Linked DNA regions of Oryctolagus cuniculus. The protein of the gene in region 1 purifies or fractionates together with the protein of each later gene. This does not show direct contact. Links are inferred from orthologs where the notes say so. Each region holds a gene or a part of one and is shown in the gene's direction. Other genes may lie near its edges.

Region 1 (4,231 bases):
AAGGGACCCAAGCACTTGGGACATCTTCCTCTGCTTTGCTAGGCCCTTAGCAGGGAACTGGAACAGAAGAGCAGCAGCTAGGACTGGAACCAGCGCCAGGTGGGGGCTTAACCTGGTATGCCAGAGCACCCCCCTCCCACCTTTTCCTTTTTTAACCCCAAGTTTCACTGAATATCACCAATACGTTGAACTCGCAGCTTGTTTCCACTCCTGACAGTTTCTCAGCCCAACCTCACTCAACAAAGGAGAGGGGAACTCAACATCAGTATTCAACCTAAGACAGGATCATTTGTATTCACTCTAGGAACGGAGGGTTGGCGAATGGGAGGGTGGTGAAGGGGGCAGGAGGAGGATTGCGGGGCCAGGTGAGTGGAAGAAACGGAAGAGTAATGATCAATTTATAGACGTGACCAGTCAACCCAGCAGTATTTATTCGGAGCAAAGCCCTGTGCTAGTCGTTTATTAATGCCACGGTGAGCAGGATCCATGAGGGGGTCCGTGCCTCCAAGGAGCCAGGAATATCAGGTGACCTAAGAAGCACGCAAGCCAACAAAACGCGTGCAGAGGACATCAAGGAAATTCGAGAAAAACGGCAACCGACATTAATTCGGGGCGATTCGGTAGGCCAGGGGCAGTCACAAAGATGACCACCCTTCCCCAATCCCAGGACAGGTAACGTGTGTCGTGTCAGGTGGTGCGCCCGGGCTGGGTCCCCGAGAGCACCGCTGCCAGAGGCCCCAGCGAGGCTGGATGGGAGTGCAGGTTCAGCAGGAGCCCTCCCGGGGGCGGGGGGCGAACAAAGACAGGAGCCGTGTGCGTGCAGGCGGAGGCGTGCGAGGTGGGCCTCGGAGGACCCGGCAGCCTGGGCGGGAACCGGCGTGGGCCAGGGGGCGGGACTGCGAGGCCAGGGAAGTCACCGCCGCAGTCGCCGCTCTCCCGGTTTCTGGCGTGGAGGAGTCCACCTAGGTTGAAAAGCCGGGGTCCGGCAAGTCTCTCCCGCCTGCTGGCCACTGTGGCTGCTCAGAGGTCCTTCATATCTGATGGCTTCGTGATTGGAAAAACCGCTCTGTTTGAAGAGCGCCGAGTCCCGCGCACCGTGGCGGCACTGCTGGCCGGCGGGCGGGCGGCCCTGGACACCGCTCCCGCCTCAGCCCCGCCGCCGCCGGGAGCCGCCGGGAGCCGCCGGGCCGCGGGAGGACGGCGCGGGCGGGGGCGGGGCCGCGGCGCACCTGCCCGGCGCGGCGGCTGCGCGGACCGACGTCCCCCCCCCCCCACGACGCCCGCCGAGTGTTTACGTGGAGACGAAGATGGCGGCGGCGGTGACGGCGCTGGCCGTGCGGCCCGGGACGAGCCGCCAGTGAGCGCGGAGGCTGCTCGCGCTCCGGGCGGGGCCGCGCCGCGCCGGGCCTGCTCGCTGGGCCGCGGAGCTCGCCGCCCCACCTCCGCCTGAACCGACCTTTCCTGTCTCCCCCAAACCCCGCCCGCTGCTCCGCCGCCTTCCCGCAGAGGCCATGGAGGACGAGGAGCGACAGAAGAAGCTGGAGGCCGGCAAAGCGAAGGTAGGAGAGGCGGAGGCAGCCGGGCCCGGGGAGGGAGGCGGCGGCTGGGCAGGGTGGGAGGGGGCCTGGGAGCGGAGCTGGCGGCGGCCGGCGCGCGCTGGCTGGCGGGGAGCGAGGTGCCGCGGCCCCGCGTTTCCCCCTCGCCCCTTGTTCCAGTAGGGGCGAAGCCCGGCGCCCCCTCCTCGCCGCCGATACTTGGGTGCTGAGTGAACGGCGTGGCTGCTTTCTCGTAAATGCCCAGGGCTGCCGTCAGCTGGTGTTTAATTGCTCCCGAATCTCAGCCTTTCACTTTCTTCAGGGGGTGTTCTGGGCGGTGCAGGCGTTGTGCTGCCCAGCGAGGAGATTCAGGGCTTCTCCTTTATTTGGGGGGGATTGGCGCGCGGCCGGCGGCTCGCCCGCCTCTCTGGCACGCTGGCACTCCGGGGCGTGTGTGATTGGCCTGTGACAGCTGCCTCGGCAGTGGCTCGAGTGTGCCACAAGTGCCAGCTGTGAACTTGGCTGCAGGGGCGTTGACAGAAGCGTGCCTTTGTATGTCTGTCTGCGGAGGTCTTTGTCGCGGCACCGAGGCTGTCTGCATGGAACTTCTGGGAACCCAGAGGTTCTGTGTTCCAAGTGACACCTACAGAATTCCTGCTTTGAGTAATGTCGTTGTCCTCTGTGTAGCTCCGGTGAGCCGCTGTTTCGTGTGTGTGCGCGCGCGCACGAAAAAGCCTGTAAAGCAAACAATACAAAATCATACACAGGTGTCATTCCTTGGGCTTCATGAAAAACTTGACACGAGATACATTTGAATAACCTATTTCTTTTAAACATTGCGTGTTAGACGTGTCTTCTGGTTGGCCCCAAAGGACCCCTTCTTCTTTACAACGAAATGACCTTTTGTAGGTTATCTGCTAATCTCTGTAGAGGTAATTGTCAGCAATCATACTTGGACTGCGGTTAAATGGTAGTGTAGTTAACTGTTTCTCCTCTCCGCCTTCCCTCCCCTCCCCCCACATAAACAAAGGAAACCGGGGCCCTGGCTGCAGTCCTCCGGGAAGGGCCACCTGCAGAGGTGCAGCAGGAGAGTGCTCATCCCAGGTGTGTCTGCCTGCGTGTGTAACGTAGCAATGCAGTGGGCTTTGCAGGAAGCTCCCTCCGCCCGAGGTCCAGGCTCACAGGTAGCCAGGTGGACTTTTAGAATCTGTACATGGAGGGAAGGGGAACAGGGCACCTTCCAGAGCCCCCAAATTGCTTACATTACACAAACCCCGTGTGTCCCTTGAGGGAGGTTAGCTGTGTGCTGGCTTCCAGAAGCACTGAAGTTCTAATCTGTCTGGCTTGGGAATTTTTACTGCTTGCCCCCAAAAATGTCTTTCCTAAAAACATGTGAAGCAGTCCCATGAAAGGTGATTTACTTTGGACAGACATATATCATGATAGAGGATTTAATTAAATAGTTGTAAGTAGTTGATTTGGCAAAATGGAGTTCTGTATGCTCTAGCGGTGTGTGTGTGTGTGTGTGTTTCAAAATTCTACCAATGGAGTAATGTTAATAGGTTAACTTGTATTTCAGAAGTTTATCTTCTTCTGGAGTTAAGCCTGCTTTTCCCAGTGAGAAATCTGTGAAACGTATAAGGCAGGATATGTTTGGGGCCACATTAGCTCTGCAATAAAAATACCGAAATAAGTCTTGAGAGATGATATGAAGAGACTGGCTTTCTAAGATGTATAAATGCAATGGAATAGTATGCAGCCATTAACGTTATGAAGACTAACAGCATGGAAGATAGAATGAAAATGGCATCATCAAAAATAGTCTATAAATTATTTCCTCTCTATATAAGCATGTGTTTTAGTTAGGACTGAAAAACATTGGGTTCTTTTTTTTTTTTTTTTTTTTTTTTGACAGGCAGAGTGGACAGTGAGAGAGAGACGGAGAGAAAGGTCTTCCTTTGCCGTTGGTTCACCCTCCAATGGCCGCCACAGCCGGCGTGCTGCGGCCGGCGCACTGCGCCTATCCGAAGGCAGGAGCCAGGTACTTATCCTGGTCTCCCATGGGGTGCAGGGCCCAAGCACTTGGGCCATCCTCCACTGCACTCCCTGGCCACAGCAGAGAACTGGCCTGGAAGAGGGTCAACCGGGACAGAATCCGGTGCCCCGACCGGGACTAGAACCCGGTGTGCCAGCGCCGCAAGGTGGAGGATTAGCCTAGTGAGCCACGGCGCCGGCCCAAAACATTGGGTTCTAAATGTAGTCATTCAGCACAAGCCATCTTGAACTCCCATGTTATGCCAGGGGCTGGAGATATAGAGGTGGTGACAATCTTTTTTCAAGTTAGATCACAGTGTACCCTAGAATGATACCTATCAGTGAATGCTAAATAAATGAAGAGCAGAATGACTAATGAGTTGTTAATGGGTGCAGCTTTACTAGTATGGTTATAGTTTAGTAACAATAGGGGCCAGCGCTGTGGCATAGTGGGTAAAGTCGCTGCCTGCCCTAACGACATCCCATACGGGCACAGGTTTGGGTCCTGGCTGTTTCACTTCCTATCCAGCTCTCTGCTATGGCCTGGGAAGGCAGAAGAAGTTGGCCCAAGTCCTTGAGCTCCTGCACCTTCATGGGAGACGTGGAAGAAGCTCCTGGCTCCTGGCTTCAGATCGGCACAGCTCTGGTAGTTGGCAGCCATC
Region 2 (3,513 bases), on another chromosome or scaffold:
AAAGGTCTTCCTTCCATTGGTTCACTTCCCAAATGGCCCCCATGGCCGGCACTGCACCGATCTGAAGCCAGGAGCCAGGAGCTTCTTCCTGGTCTCCCATGTGGTTGCAGGAGCCCAAGCACTTGAGCCATCCTCCACTGCCCTCCCAGGCCACAGCAGAGAGCTGGACTGGAAGAGGAGCAACCAGGACTAGAACCTGGCATCCATATGGGATGCTGGCGCTGCAAGGCAGAGGATTAACCAAGTGAGCCACGGCACCGGCCCCTCCCTGCTGTCTTAATTAAGGCCAATAACCCATCAGGATGCTCTTCTGCTTTTTGTTCTGCTTCATTCACTTGCTTCACAATGTCAGACTCTCCCAAAGCTTGAGTACCACTTCTAGAAAAGTTGCTCCCAGAGGATCCTCTCCAGCCGGACTTCTTCACTCATGCCTGGGAAGACCTTGGAAATGCCTAATGAAGCTAAGGCCAGGTGGACTGGGTATTGTCACTGAGTTTCTCCACTTGGATCCTGTATTCCTTCTTTGACAGGGAATAGCTGCCACTGTGGGCACTAGTCAGTTTCTGCTCCTGCTCGAGTGGAGGTCAGTAGAAGCTTCCCTAAGGAACGCTTGTAGTTACAAGAGGGGGTGGCACTCCTTTTCTTTTCAAACTTTCAGGTGGTTTGCTTGCCTCTGAGCACCTGCTGTCTCTGAAAGTTCACCTGCAGTGCCCCACTGGGAGCTCTCCAAAGGCTGAGTTGGTGTCTGGTGCTGTTTTGTTGTTATTGTTGTTGTTGTTTTTAACCTTCCATAGCTACAAGAATTGGCCTTGCATGATATGAATAGAGAGTTCTGGGAAGTGTGTGAAAACATGCATAGGAGGGATTGGAAAATGAATGGATAAATCTGCAGGATACTCTGGGATTGGCTATGTGGTACAGTGACTTAAGCTGCCTCTTCAGACACTGACATTCCATGTTGGATTGTGCTTGTTGGAGTCCCAGCTACTTTGCTTCTGATTCAGATTCCTGCTACCTGGAAAGGTAGCGAATGATGGCCCAAGTACTTGGGTTCCTGCCACCCACATGGGAAACTTGCATGGAGTTCCAGATCCTGAGTCAAGCCCCAGCCTTAGAAAGCATTTGGTAACTGCACCAGCAGACAGAAGATCTTTTCCCTCCTCTCTCTACTTCTTTATCACTCTGCTTTTCAAATAATTTTTAAGAGATATCTGTTGTTTTTCTCCTTAGATAGAAATGCAACTTGCTATTGAAATTATTATAATATTTGTAACATTATAAATGGATTTATAAATATTATTTTTTGACATGCCTATTCAAGCATAAGGAAAGGGGCTTTATAATTCTCATTTTCTGTCTTAATTGTTCTCTTTCCATAACATTCCTGGCCTAGATTGGCCAATATTCCAAAGTATAAAAGTAACATTTTAAATAATACATCTTTATCCTCGACTTCAGAAAATCCATGGTAGATGATGCAGCCACAACAGAGCGACTAGAGATTGAATGGCTCGTTCCAAGTATATTGGGGGAAAATGGGACAGAATCTGCCTAAGTACCAGAAAGCAGACCTTATTTGTACAGCCGTGTAAGTAGGGAGAGTAGGATTCTACCACTGCCCACACTAGGAGTGTAGGTGACTTCTCTGTTTATGTGGGTGAAACGTGGCACAGGATAGGACCTGGGAATTCTACAGCTGATAGAAAATGAGCCAGTGAAGTCCATTCAGATGTTGCGCCCAGTTGTCTGTTATGTGCTGTCTTTACCCCACAACCGCTCCAGCATCAGGAACCTACAGTGAAATAGGCCCTTACTCCCTTGCTGCTGCTTTACTTTTCCAGCCTTTAGGGTATTTTTATAGTTTCCAAAAGAAAACTTTCCATTCTTGACAGCCTGTGTAGGAAAAAGGAATAGCTAACTTGGGTCCAAATGACTGTTCACCCATTTAGAAGCCTGAGACTAAGCAGTTAACATTTTCCTGTCCATGTGTCTCTCCCCACCTATGTTCACACGTGTCTGAAAAGTGCCTGGCTCTAGGTAGCTCTGATTTACTGTCTCCTAATCAGAATCCATGACTTTACTGGGGTCAAGGTACCTTTTATATGTCTGCCTTCCATTTTGAGTATCCTCCCCTATCTTTTCATTAATTTAAAACTACTCATCCTTCAGATCCCAAATTTATATTTTTGCTACAAAACTGTCTTCAATCATTCCTGCTTACTGTGATCTCCCTCCCATCTCAAATTCTTGTGATGCTTGCCTTCTGTAGCTTCACCTAGTGTATTTCATATGCTGCCTTGAACTGTAGACTCTTTATTCCTGTGTGTTTTGTGTTGTCTCATGATTAAGATGGTGAAGTCCTTGTACTCAAGAACCATCTAGTTTTTTATTCCTTCCTTTTTTTGGAAGGCTGTCTTTTTTTTTTTTTTTTTTTTTTTGACAGGCAGAGTGGACAGTGAGAGAGAGAGACAGAGAGAAAGGTCTTCCTTTTGCCGTTGGTTCACCCTCCAATGGCCGCCGCGGCCGGTGCGCTGCGGCCGGCGTACCGCGCTGATCCGATGGCAGGAGCCAGGAGCCAGGTGCTTATCCTGGTCTCCCATGGGGTGCAGGGCCCAAGCACCTGGGCCATCCTCCACTGCACTCCCTGGCCACAGCAGAGAGCTGGCCTGGAAGACGGGCAACCGGGACAGAATCCGGCGCCCCAACCGGGACTAGAACCTGGTGTGCCGGCGCCGCTAGGCAGAGGATTAGCCTAGTGAGCCGCGGCGCCGGCCGGCTGTCTTTTGATTTTAAACAATGACTGTGAGCTCCCCAATGTTTGATTGGGAATTCTTTGTTTTGTGGTCTGTTTGTGACCCACAGGTGGCACCCATTGAACACTAGATAGCAAGCAGCAGTGTGTCGGGCATTTGTCTGGCTTAGGCTACAAGTCTTTTTCTTCCATTGACTACTCTGGAATTGAAGTATCATTAAACACTCAGTTGACACAATAACTTACATAATCTAACAATTGACGTGTCCCAGTTAACTAAACCGTGGACATTGTCTTACACAGGCATTTACTAGATTTTTCATTTTCTTTCTTATAGGACCGGGTGACTTTTAGAAGAATCATAGTGAAAAACAATGCAAAAAAAAGGAAGATGTTTGAATCGTTTATTGAGTCTGTGCCCCTCCTTAAATCACTAGAGGTAAAATCTATTTGAGTAAGAGTCTTTTTATGGTGGGGAGAGAGAAGCTATCTGTTACTAAGTTTTCAAATCATATTATTCTAGCCCATTTCTGTGTTGTATAAGTAGTGTAACTTTCAGTTAAGGTCTTTTCCTTATGATTTGTGTGTCTGTTGTTTCAGGTATCGGAACGAATGAAGATTGTGGATGTCATCGGAGAGAAGGTCTATAAGGATGGAGAACGCATAATCACTCAGGTAAGCAGAGGCCCTGCCCAGCTCCTTTCCTGAAGTCACCACTTGAAAACAAGCACATCACTTTTGTCTCTTAAGATGTCTGTGAG
Region 3 (4,017 bases), about 19 Mb from region 1:
ATCCCAGAGCTGCTGTTTGTAGGGGATCCAGAATGTCCCCCTGCCAAGTAGGTCTCCGTGGACACATCTGTCTGCGCTGGTGATTTCTGTAAGGGGCTCTTATCGGCGCTCTCCAAGTAAGCTGTCTCTGAGTGGGACACAGGCGGAGGCAGGATTCCGATCCAGACCCGTCCCTGGCCGCCGGGAGCTGGGAGCTGAGAGCCTCCCAGCTCGGACATTCTTGAAGCTGCCTCTCGGGCTCCTGCTCTCTCTCGGCCTGTGTTTTCTTAATTAAAGTAATGGAGGTTGAATTCCCCATGTCCGTTCAGGGGGGAGCAGTCCTAGGAATGCAACCCAGCGCTAGGCTGCGCCCCTCTGTCATCGCTGGTCCGCATTAAGATGCAGGGTGGATACAACGTAACTAGCTAAGGGACTGGGAACTCGATCCTTGCTCTGCTGATGGGAAGGTGCCCTCCTGAGGCTGGGAGAGAAGGAGCCAGGCTGGGAAAAGGAAGCCCCTCTCTGCCTCACAGCCCTTGAAAGGATGGAGTCCGAGGGCAATTACCCTCTTAGACCAGGGTGGGCCGGGGGCCAGGGCAGTAGCCAGCCCAGCCTGCAGGGGGCACCTGCATTTCATGTTGCCAGATCCCAGCCTGCGGGGGACTGGCCAAGCATCCTAAAGCCCAGGAGCTGGGGTGGGGTGGAGATGGGAAGATTGGCACCCAAAGGTGGCAAAGCCACCGACAAGGGGCTTAGTGGGGGTTGGCGAGGAGCTAAAAGAGCAAAGGGAAAAAAAATGAAGGCTCATGGCCAGGCTGGAGGAACCGAGAGAGGGCAGTGGCCCCAGGGGGCCCCAGGGGGCAGACAGCCAAGTGGAGCTCAGGTCTGAGCTGGCACTGGCTGGAGACACCCCCACCCCCACCCCGGGGAGCCGGGTCACAGGGACATGGCCCGAGTGGTGGGAGGGAGCCCCCCAGAGGCCCCTTGGTGGGGACACCAAGCCCCAGAGACAAGCCCACCCAGGTGCGTCCTGCAGGTTCCTGGGTGGGATGAACTGGTGTCTTCCGACTTCCTACAGAAGCCCAAGAGGGTCAAACGCCTCTGCCCATTGGCAGTTGTATGGGTGCCCGAGAGGGTCCTGCCAAGACAGCTTTGCTCTTAGCCCAAGGCAGCCAGCAGCAGCTTGGGAGGTCCCAGCCAGCTCTCCCCTGCACCTGCCCTCCTCTCACCGGCCTTCCCGTCCCCATTCCCGCCCCCCAACTCCCCGGCTCCCCCTGCAGGCCGGGCCGTGGGGTGGGCCGCCAGGCTGGGGCGGCGAGGTCTCGTGAGCCTTCCCAGCCACCGTAGCTCGGATGCCCTGTGAGGAAGACTGAGTGATGGCTTCCAACTCCAGTGATGGTGAGGCTGAGCCCTGTTGCTATAGCAACTCCCTGGGCACTCTCTGCCCCTCAAGTCAGGGAGGGGGCTGCAGCAGGGTTTGGGGGCGCAGGAAGGGAGGAGGAGGCTGTGGGGGGCCTGGGGACGAGGAAGACAGATAGGGGGGAGCCGGGGGTGTGCGCCCAGCGATGGGAGGGGAGTGCAGCCCAGTGTGGGGGATCCAGGCCAGGCCAGAGTACTGGCCCCCGCCCAGGCTGGGCAGTTCCACCCCAGGACCGCCAGGTTTCAGAGTGCCTAGAGGGTCTCGGGTTATTGTCCGGGAATGGGGAGTCCAGGGAGCCCCCCCCAGCCCCTTGCCCAGCTGGACACACAACCCTTGCAACCCTACATCCGCAGGATGGAGTTCTAGATTTCGGCCGTGGCTTTGTCAGGGGTCCTCTGGGGTTGTCCCTGGGACCCCAAATCAAAACCCGGCGGGATTGGGACGTCTGGTGCCATGGCCCTCTAGGAGCTAGGTGACAGAGTGGGGGAAGCGGGGGGACTTCCTGTCACCAGCAGGGTGCCCCCACCAACTCCGGGTGTTGGGTGCTCTGGGAGAGGCTGCCGCTGCCCCTCCTTCCGCTTCTCTCCGGGATCTGGGAAGAAGGAGGGAGATGGCCAAGCGGCCTCCCCCTCCCCCGCTCCCCCGGGTTGAGCCGTCCGTTTCCGGTTTGGACTTTTCATGGCCCAGAGCGGAGCCAAGCACACAGGGCAAGGTTTGACAGAGGCCAAGGGCATGCAGGATGTCGATCCCCTCCCCGCCCCCACATGGGAGCGGGACAGGGAGCCACACGCACCCGTTTCTGTCTCAGGGGTGGCAGGATTGGGTGGGGGAGCCCCGGGGTGTCTGGTCTCCCTGGCCCTCCACGCCCTCCCTACCCCCTCCCCGCCCAGCCTTTCCCTCCAGCTGTTCTTCCAGCTAATTAACAGGGCGCTCCTCAGCCCCCTGGGGCCCTCTGGCTGCTGCCTGGGCCTTAACTCCTTCACCTCTGCGCAGTGGGCACTGCCCCAGGCCCCGGGGGGACGGGGAGGGGGCAGCCAGGCACCCAGTGAGGAAGGCAGGGCCTGACAGCCAGAGTCAAGTCCCTGGAAGGGGAAGTTGGCCTTGGCGCCCCGCCCCCGGGCAGAGGGACACCCCCGGGAGTCCGCGCCTCCGCCTCCTGCCAGGGAAAGCCTCTGTGGACCCTGGCAGCCAGGAGCAGGTGCAGGCACCTTTTTAACTGCTTCCGTGGCAACCGGCTCCTCCTCCCTTCCCCCCTACCCCCCGGGGGGCTGGGCGGCTCCTGTGCTGGGTGAGGAGAGAGCCCAGGCCAGCGGGATGCTGGGATGGAGCCGGGGTCCTGCCGGAGCCAGGGTGCGGACTCGGAGACCACTTTCCAGCTGTGGCTCCAGCTGCTCCTCTGGGCCCACCTGGCCGCCCGGCTCCTGAGCTACCTGCGCCACACCTTCCAGCGAGCCTGACCTGAGCCCCCCAGCCCAGACCACCCAACCCCACCCACTCCCCCGGTTCTCCCCTCTGCTGGAAGACACAAGAAGCAGAGGTGAGTGGTGGGGGTGGGGTGGGGGCGGGGTCTGCAGGCTGAGGTCCCCTCCCCCAGTACCGCCCTTAGCTGCCTGCCCCCAGCCCCAGCAGAGGGGACGTGACCTGGGCTCCTCGTGCACCTTGGGAGGCCAGCGGAGGGCTGTGCTAGGGACTCTGCCCCACCCGGGGAGGGGGCTCAGTGGGCGCCAATGAAGAAGGAAACAGGACCAGGCCCCCCGCTGCCTTCCTGTGTGGGTCAGGGCCCCGCCCCTCCCCCCGCCACCCAATCCAGAGTTCTGTGGGAGGAAAGGTGCCTGTGTGGGTGGGTGTGTGTGCACATGTGGGAGCAAACCGTCTCCAGTAGACCCCATGCCCAGAGCGGTCTCTCGGCCAGCTGGTGGCCCAGCCAGGCGCCAGCTTGGGACGGCTGTCCCCTCTGGGCCCAGCTCTGCCAGCAGCCTTGGGGACAGTGGGGGCGTGGTGCCAGTGACGGGCAGGAGCACGGTGGGGCAGGGGGTGGGGGCCGTGTGTGCTCCGCGTGGCTGTTTTCATCGAAGCATCTGGGGCCTGGGGACAGTTCTGTCCTGGTCCACCCCAGTGCACGTGACCAGCGGTGAAGCCGATGGCCGGGACGGCAGTAAAAACGGCTCACGTCATAGCAGTGGGGGAGGGCTTGCAGGCAAATGATCAGTCTTCCGATCTGTACAATGGCTGGGATGGAGCCTGCCGGGCTGGGGCTGACGCTTAGAAAACACCACGTGCAGGGCGGGCTTGGCGCCTGTAGGGTGTTGTTCGGGGGTGCGTGTGTCTTGTCCATGTTCATCCAACTGCCTGGTTAAGCTCTGGACACCTACCGCCGAGTCTGCTGTCTCAACCGAAAAGAATGCTGCAAAAAAATTAATAGGGAACATTTGTGTCCCACGCCAGCCACCGTCCAACCCCCCTTTGCCAAAGTGAGCTCCTGCCATCCACACAGCTTCGCTGCCTGTATGGTTAGGTCGCTGTCATTATCATCCCCATTGTATAGATGAGGAAAACTGAGGCCCCCTCCCCCAACAGAGGCGCGGTCAGTTGTGCCCAGTGCGTCAGAGAGCACGGGC
Region 4 (3,513 bases), on another chromosome or scaffold:
GGTTGTTGGGAGCGTGCCGGCACGGGCTCGGGCTTCACTGCCGCCTGGCTGCTCCGTGAGGCTGCGGCTCTGGGATTTCACCGCGTGCTGGTGCTCGTGTCGCCGCAGATCAGCCGCATTGAGTACATCCATTCGAAGAACTTCATCCACCGAGATGTGAAGCCAGACAACTTCCTCATGGGGCTGGGGAAGAAAGGCAACCTGGTCTACATCATCGACTTTGGGCTGGCCAAGAAGTACCGGGACGCAAGGACGCACCAGCACATCCCCTACCGTGAGAACAAGAACCTCACAGGGACCGCGCGGTACGCCTCCATCAACACGCACCTCGGAATTGGTGAGCCCCGCCCGCGGGGTGCTGGCTTAGCTAGCTGTGGGTGTGTGCATCGCGCATCTCGGGCGCCCAGGCTTGTGAGCGTGTCTGTTGCCGGGGCCCTGATCAGGCCTTTGTAGCAGACAGTCTGGCTGCAGCAGCAGTTGAAGCCTGGTTGTCCGGCAGGAGGCAGGGCGGTGCCAGGATGTTGCCCCCTCTGGGCTGGGGCTGGGGCGGTCCTCAGTGGCGCCTGGGAGCACCTTCCGCCACTGAGGGGGCGAGTGTTGCCTCTGTGCGAGCACACGGCCGCCAGCCCTCACGCCGTTCCTTTTCTTTGCAGAGCAATCTCGAAGGGATGACTTGGAGTCCCTGGGCTACGTGCTCATGTACTTCAACTTGGGCTCTCTGCCCTGGCAGGGGCTGAAGGCTGCCACCAAGAGACAGAAGTACGAACGGATCAGCGAGAAGAAGATGTCCACCCCCATCGAAGTGCTGTGCAAAGGCTACCCCTGTGAGTGTCCTCATTCCGCAGCAGGCGTGGCGGCAGAGGGGCCGCTGTGTGTGTGGAGGTCACGGTGGCCTCTTGTTTGATGCATCCCGAGTGTCTCTGGTGGGAGCTCCGTCAGCCCAGAGGAGGTGGAGGCAAGGCCCGGCTGACCTTGCGAAATGTCTCGGACGTTGGGAGGTGGAGAGTGAGTGGTGGCTGTACCTGCCTTGTGGGCTGACCACAGCCTATAGCCAACCTCAGTGTCTGGGTTCGTAATCACTGAGTTTTCCTGTGTTCTAAGACTTCCCTGGGTAAAATTAAGTTTGCTATGTGATGTTGAATATTTTAAAAACACTTTCCCGAGGCCTAGATTCTTCAAAATGTGGCTGGTTTTAAAATGCACACTTGCAGGGCCGGCGCTGTGGCATAGCGGGTAAAGCTGCCGCCTGCTACCCCAGCAGACCACGTGGGCACTCGTTCAAGACCCGACTGCTCTGCTCTGATCCAGCTCCCTGCTGATGTGCTAGGAAAGGAGTGGAGTTCGTCTGACGTGCTTGGGCCCCTGTACCCACATGGGAGACCCGGAAGAAGCTCCTGGCTCCCAGCTTCAGCTTGGGCCAGCCCTAGCCATTGTGACCATTTGGGGAGTGAACAAGCAGATGGAAAATCTCTTTCTCTTTCTCCCTCCCTCGTGTGTGTGTGTGTGTGTGTGTGTGTGTGTGTGTGTTTCTCTGTCTTTTAAGTAAATAATTTTTTAAATATTTATCTAAGAGGTAGAGTTATAGACAGGTTCTTCCATCTGCTGGTTCACTCCCCAGATGGCCACAATAGCTGGAGCCAGGAGCTTCTTCCAGGTCTCCCATGTGGGTGCAGAGAGAGTCCACTGCTTTCCCAGGCCATCCCAGAGAGCTGGATCCGAAGTGGAGCAGCCGGGACTCAACCAGTACCCGGCTGGGTGGGATACCGCTGCCGCATGCGGAGGCTTCAGCGCACTGTGCCACAGTGCCAACCCCGAATAAAGCAAGAGGCGGCACACTCCCTGGGTGTGTGGCCACAGGGGTGAGCAGTGGTATTGACAGGTGGGCATTTCGCTTAGCTTTGTGCTGCTTGTCTTTCAGCTGAATTCGCCACGTACCTGAATTTCTGCCGTTCCCTGCGCTTTGACGACAAGCCCGACTACTCGTACCTGAGACAGCTCTTCCGAAACCTGTTCCATCGCCAGGGCTTCTCCTACGACTACGTGTTCGACTGGAACATGCTCAAATTTGTAAGTGCTGCCGCCGCCAGCTCTGCCTTCTCGAGGCATGACGGGAACTGCCCATCGGTGGGAAGCTGGCGGCCCTCGTCCAGGGCCACATCGTGTGCAGGCGACTGTGCCGTCGAGGGCTTGGGTTTTTAGGGCATGTTTGCCAAATTGGGGAAGCCCGGTATCCCTTGTGGGCCCTGGGCTGATGCGGGTGTGTGCCGTCGAGGAGAGCCAGGCTCCCCTGAGACCATGTGACGCGGGCAGCAGGTCCTGGAGTGGCCGAGAGGTCTGCCTGCAGCCGCAGCTCCTGGGAGTTGGCACGTGCAGGTTTCTGGGGTTGGAGTGGCCAGCACCAGTTCTCAGAGCTCCGTGGGGCTGCCTGCGGTGCCCTCACCCAGCGTCACCCGGGGCTGCAGGGAGCCAGAGGGCCCAGTGCCGTGGGGGCTGTGGGGACCCCCGTGCTGTGAGGAGCGCACCTGCTGTCTGGATTTGGCCCTGTGGTGAGCCCATCTCACGTTAGGTATCCTTCTCACCACAGTTCGTGATGTGTGCATGAGACGCCATGGCTGTGCCCGGCCAGTGCTGGGGTGCAGTGAGCTGAGCTGCCGCCTGCAGCACCAGCGTCCCGTCGAAGCCCCAGTTCTGATACCCAGCTCCCTGCTGATGTGCCCGGGAAGTCAGCAGATGATGGCCCAAACCCAAAAACCTGGGCCCCTGCTACCCATGTGGGAGACCACCATGGAGTTCTGTCTCCTGGCTTTAACCTGGACCATCCCCAGCCTTTGCAGCCGTCTGGGGAGTGAACCAATGTCGCCGTCTCTCTCTGAAGCTCTCCCCACTCTGCCCTGCAGACCGAGGGCAGGCAGCCGTTCCCACTTGGCTGCGGTTGCTGCTGATGCTGGCCGCTTTGGTCCAGCTCTGGTGCCTTCTTCCACTGAAGATTGTCCCGCCCAGCTGTCACTCAACTCAGCACCTTAGCAGTTGACAGGATCTAGTGGAGGAGAGCTGGCACCGTGGCTCACTAGGCTAATCCTCCGCCTTGCGGCGCCAGCACACCGGGTTCTAGTCCCAGTCGGGGTGCCGGATTCTGTCCAGGTTGCCCCTCTTCCAGGCCAGCTCTCTGCTGTGGCCCGGGAGTGCAGTGGAGGATGGCCCAAGTGCTTGGGCCCTGCACCCCATGGGAGCCCAGGAGAAGCACCTGGCTCCTGCCATCGGATCAGCGCGGTGCGCCGGCCGCAGCGCGCCAGCCGTGGCGGCCATTGGAGGGTGAACCAACGGCAAAGGAAGACCTTTCTCTCTCTCTCTCTCTCTCACTGTCCACTCTGCCTGTCAAAAAAAAAAAAAAAAAAAAAAGAATCTAGTGGAAGAGTACAGTTTTTTGCCTCTTCAGAAGGCAGCAGGGCCAGTGGTGTGGCTGGAGACCACTGGGCGGGCAGGCAGGCATCCTGCCCTGGGGCTGGAGTCCCA
Region 5 (3,513 bases), on another chromosome or scaffold:
GCATTTCTGTAATTCTTGCTGAGTAATAGGACTGTGGCACTTGCAGTCCGTTTTCCTGATTCTTCTCTTCTCTTTAGATGGGAGAAATGAAGGCCGAGATCTCCAAGCTGCACAAGAAGCTGATTGAACAAGAGAAGAGGTTGCAAAGCACCCTGAAGCTTCTGCAGCAGAGCAAGCACCAGGAAAAAGTGATCTTTGATCAGCGTAAGCAGCGTGCGCCCTGGCTCTGGGTTGCGTTTCACACCCCATCCATCCCGCCCCGTGCACAGAGGCCTGCTCATGCCACCCCGCTATGTAGAAGGGCCCTCAGGGCCAGGGGCTGCCATGCTGGGGAGATAGTGTGGCGGCTTGGCTCTGAGGGCTCAGGCTGGGGGGATTATAGGGGTGCCGAGGTGGGAGTGGGGTGGGTGCTGCCCTGCCCTGGGAGGTGCCCTGGGAGGGTGGGCCAGGTGACGGCTGGGTGTAGCGTGAAGGGATGAGCAGGCGTCACCACGTGGAAGGGGCCTGGCAATCACAGAGGTGGAAGCCGAGTGGGAGGCCAGGGCTGCGCTGGGCAGGGCCTCAGGTGGCCGGCTAAGGGCAGATGTGTGTCGGGCAGAGGATCCGCCTGTCACATCCATGTGCAAGAAAGGTTTGCTGGGGCTGGTGCCCCCGAGCAGAGGAGGCGGGCACACTGGCAGCCAGGGAAGGAGGAGGACCTTGGCCAGGAGCGTGGGGGCCCAAGGGCAGGGGTGCGGATGCAAGAAATGTTCTCCAGGCCACGCAGAAACTCGAGTTGGAGGCCAGGCACCTGCACACATGGTTCAAGCCCCGGCACTCATCTCCCCCGGCCATGTGTGTTCAGAGGAGCGGTTTCCATCGGGGCCGCGGGCAGCACAGCCCCAGCTGGGCCTCCTGCCGTCTGCACGCCAGTTTCCCTGTGGTAGGGGAAAGGCCGACCATGGTGTCTTCCCATATGGGGGGCCGGTGTGCTCTGCATGTCTCTCTCCTGAAAGGCCAGTGTTGCCGCACCACTTCTGAGAAGCACAGAATGTGGACTGTTGCCAAGTGCAGTTTCTCCTTAGCCCGGGAACCTTCTGGGATGAGCAGGAGTTAGACAGTTAGTCTCCTGCCATGGTGGATGACCTCATGGCCCCAGGGCTGTACTCCCCAAAATAAGAGAGAACCGGGGCCGGGGCCGGCGCTGTGGGGCAGCAGGTTAATGCCCTGGCCTGAAGCGCCGGCATCCCATATGGAAGCCAGTTTGAGTACGGCTGCTCCTCTTCCGATCCAGCTCTGCTATGGCCTGGAAAAGCAGTAGAAGATGGTTCAAGTCCTTGGGCTCCTGCACCCGTCTGGGAGACCTGAAAGAAGCTCCTGGTTCCTGGCATCGGATCTGTGTAGCTCCAGCTGTTGTGGCCAGCTGGGGAGTGAACCATCAGATGGAAGACCCCTCTCTCTGCCTCTCCTCTCTCTGTGTAGCTCTGACTTTCAAATAAATAAATAAATCTTAAAAAAAAAAAAGAGAGAGAGAGAGAGAGAACCAAACGTTTGGGGACATGCTTAGGACATACCGAGGCTTTTGCCTGAGTGAGAGATGGGGCAGAGAGGAGGTTACCAGGAGCCTCATGGGCTGCCCTCAGGGAGCAGCAGCAGGGACTGACCTGGCCCACTGGTGCATTCGAAGAACTGTAGCGTGGGAGGGAGCCAGGTGGAGGGGCTGGACAGTGCCAGCGGAGGTCATGTTGAGCGGGACTGTGTGAGCAGCAGGGCCAGGAAGTGATGCTTTGCTCAGCCAAGTCCGGGAACAGCAGCACCCTCTGCCCCTGCGCGTCTGCAGCCTCGGACACGCACAGGGCGCGTTTCAGGTGAGGACGTTTCAGAAGGAGGCAGAATTAGCTTCCCGCGGGTCAAGTTACCGAGGCAGCTCAAGGGGGCCGAACACGGGCCCTGGTGTTCTGGGCAGTGGGCACAGACTCATGCGTGGGCACAGCTGGTTCTCCAGTGCCCTGGGTCACCTACATGGAATGGCTTGAACTCGGAGCTTGCAGACGACTCAGACTGTCCAGGTGGCCTGGGCTCTGACCGCAGCTCTAGAAAAAGTGCCTCCCTTCCTCGTCTGTCAAGCCAGGGGTGACATGCTGCCTAAGCCGCACTGTGCTGGCGTGACCTCAGGATGGAGTCGACGCCCAGCAAATGTTGTCTTCGTCTTTCTGTTCATTACGCCAGGCTGAATCCTGTGCGTGGTGGTGGCAAATCAGTCCTGTAAGAAAGTCACGGTCTTCTCGCAGCATTCCCCCTGCCAAAATGGGGTCTCCTAGCTCGTACCACCAAGGTCTGGCACAGAGTGGGCGTGGCCTGGCCCAGCGTGCGCACCTGGTGGCTGACTGGGGCCTGCAACTCCTCCTCCTGTGCTGGGCTCTGCGGCTCATTGGAAATTTCCCCGAACCCTGCCAGTCTCACAGGTCTGTTGCTGGCTCTCAGGTGACCAAGTAGGGGCAGGTGTTTGGCACCGTGGCTTAAGTTGCCACTTAGCACACTCACATCCTGAATCCCAGTGCCTGCTCTGAGTCCTGGCTCCTCTTCCTATCCAGCTTCCTGCTCCTGCACACCCTGGGAGGCAATAGGTGATGCCTCAAGTACCCAGGTCCTTGCCACCTGCATGGGGTACCTGAATGGAGTTCTGGGCTCCTGGCTTCAGCCTAGCACAGCTGTGGCTGCTACAAGCATTTGGAGTGAACCAGCAGATGGAAGATAGATCTCTCTGTTTCTCTCTTTCTTGCCGCCTTTCAAATAAAATGAAAATGGACAGTAATTAAAAATTGAGGTGACTGAGTAAAAGGTGGCCTTGTTGCCTCCCTTTGCTCCCCACGGGGTAGCAGGGAATGGCCAGGGCCAGGGCCAGTCCCTGTCTGCATCAGGCACGCCACCTCCTGCCAGAGTCCAGTGGAGTGTGAAGAAAGGGGGTCCCTTGAACACCCGAGAACCCTGCCGCAGGTCACTCACTCTGCCTCTGAGCCTCAGATCCTTACTTGCAAAGTTAGGGTGGGGGTGGGGTTTTCAGTGAGCCACCCTGGCACATGCCTGTCACAGGTCATCCCTGCTGCTGCTCCCTGAGGGCAGCCCACGAGGCTCCTTGCCACCTGCTCCCTCCTCCTTCCCGCTCTCACTCAGGCAAAAGCCTTGGTATGTCCTAAGCATGTCCGCAGACGTTTGGTTCTTTCTTGTTCTGGGAGTGCGGCCTTGGGGCCACGAGGTCATCCGCCTGAGTAGGAGACTAACTTTTTCTGACTAACTCCTGCTCATCCCTCGAGACCCGGCAGGTCTTGACCCCCCCATGACCCAGGGCCTTGGGCCAGCGCTCAGGCTGCTTGCTCGTGTTTGGGTCTCCCTGCGGTGCCACAGCGTCTCCCCAGCCTCTGTGCCGGAGCCTCTGCACGTGTCGGAGGCTCTGCCAGTGTCACGGAGTCGGAAGCTTCCTGGGGACGGCTAAGGAGAACCCGTGCTTGGCAGTAGTCCACGTTCTGTTCTTAG

The links.
Region 2: the proteins of AKAP9 (region 1) and PRKAR2A purify together in Homo sapiens (affinity purification with western blotting; 3 studies listed by BioGRID, with this or other methods). This does not show direct contact. The link is inferred for Oryctolagus cuniculus from reciprocal best matches to the Homo sapiens genes AKAP9 and PRKAR2A.
Region 3: the proteins of AKAP9 (region 1) and PRKACA purify together in Homo sapiens (affinity purification with mass spectrometry; 7 studies listed by BioGRID and IntAct, with this or other methods). This does not show direct contact. The link is inferred for Oryctolagus cuniculus from reciprocal best matches to the Homo sapiens genes AKAP9 and PRKACA.
Region 4: the proteins of AKAP9 (region 1) and CSNK1D purify together in Homo sapiens (affinity purification with mass spectrometry; 4 studies listed by BioGRID and IntAct, counting the BioPlex papers as one, with this or other methods). This does not show direct contact. The link is inferred for Oryctolagus cuniculus from reciprocal best matches to the Homo sapiens genes AKAP9 and CSNK1D.
Region 5: the proteins of AKAP9 (region 1) and CDK5RAP2 purify together in Homo sapiens (affinity purification with western blotting; 4 studies listed by BioGRID and IntAct, with this or other methods). This does not show direct contact. The link is inferred for Oryctolagus cuniculus from reciprocal best matches to the Homo sapiens genes AKAP9 and CDK5RAP2.

The regions. Positions count from the first base shown.
Region 1 is NC_091447.1:43,775,552-43,779,782, reverse strand, and holds the start of AKAP9 (A-kinase anchor protein 9), read left to right. Parts: upstream 1-1,425; 5' UTR 1,426-1,511; coding exon 1,512-1,559; intron 1,560-4,231. UniProt on the Homo sapiens protein: Scaffolding protein that assembles several protein kinases and phosphatases on the centrosome and Golgi apparatus. Required to maintain the integrity of the Golgi apparatus. Required for microtubule nucleation at the cis-side of the Golgi apparatus.
Region 2 is NC_091441.1:100,345,443-100,348,955, forward strand, and holds part of PRKAR2A (cAMP-dependent protein kinase type II-alpha regulatory subunit), read left to right. Parts: intron 1-3,089; coding exon 3,090-3,191; intron 3,192-3,352; coding exon 3,353-3,427; intron 3,428-3,513. UniProt on the Homo sapiens protein: Regulatory subunit of the cAMP-dependent protein kinases involved in cAMP signaling in cells. Type II regulatory chains mediate membrane association by binding to anchoring proteins, including the MAP2 kinase.
Region 3 is NC_091447.1:62,981,603-62,985,619, reverse strand, and holds the start of PRKACA (cAMP-dependent protein kinase catalytic subunit alpha), read left to right. Parts: upstream 1-1,214; 5' UTR 1,215-1,355; coding exon 1,356-1,377; intron 1,378-4,017.
Region 4 is NC_091448.1:764,330-767,842, forward strand, and holds part of CSNK1D (casein kinase I), read left to right. Parts: intron 1-108; coding exon 109-337; intron 338-653; coding exon 654-824; intron 825-1,918; coding exon 1,919-2,067; intron 2,068-3,513. UniProt on the Homo sapiens protein: Essential serine/threonine-protein kinase that regulates diverse cellular growth and survival processes including Wnt signaling, DNA repair and circadian rhythms. It can phosphorylate a large number of proteins.
Region 5 is NC_091432.1:224,284,526-224,288,038, reverse strand, and holds part of CDK5RAP2 (CDK5 regulatory subunit-associated protein 2), read left to right. Parts: intron 1-77; coding exon 78-204; intron 205-3,513. UniProt on the Homo sapiens protein: Potential regulator of CDK5 activity via its interaction with CDK5R1. Negative regulator of centriole disengagement (licensing) which maintains centriole engagement and cohesion. Involved in regulation of mitotic spindle orientation.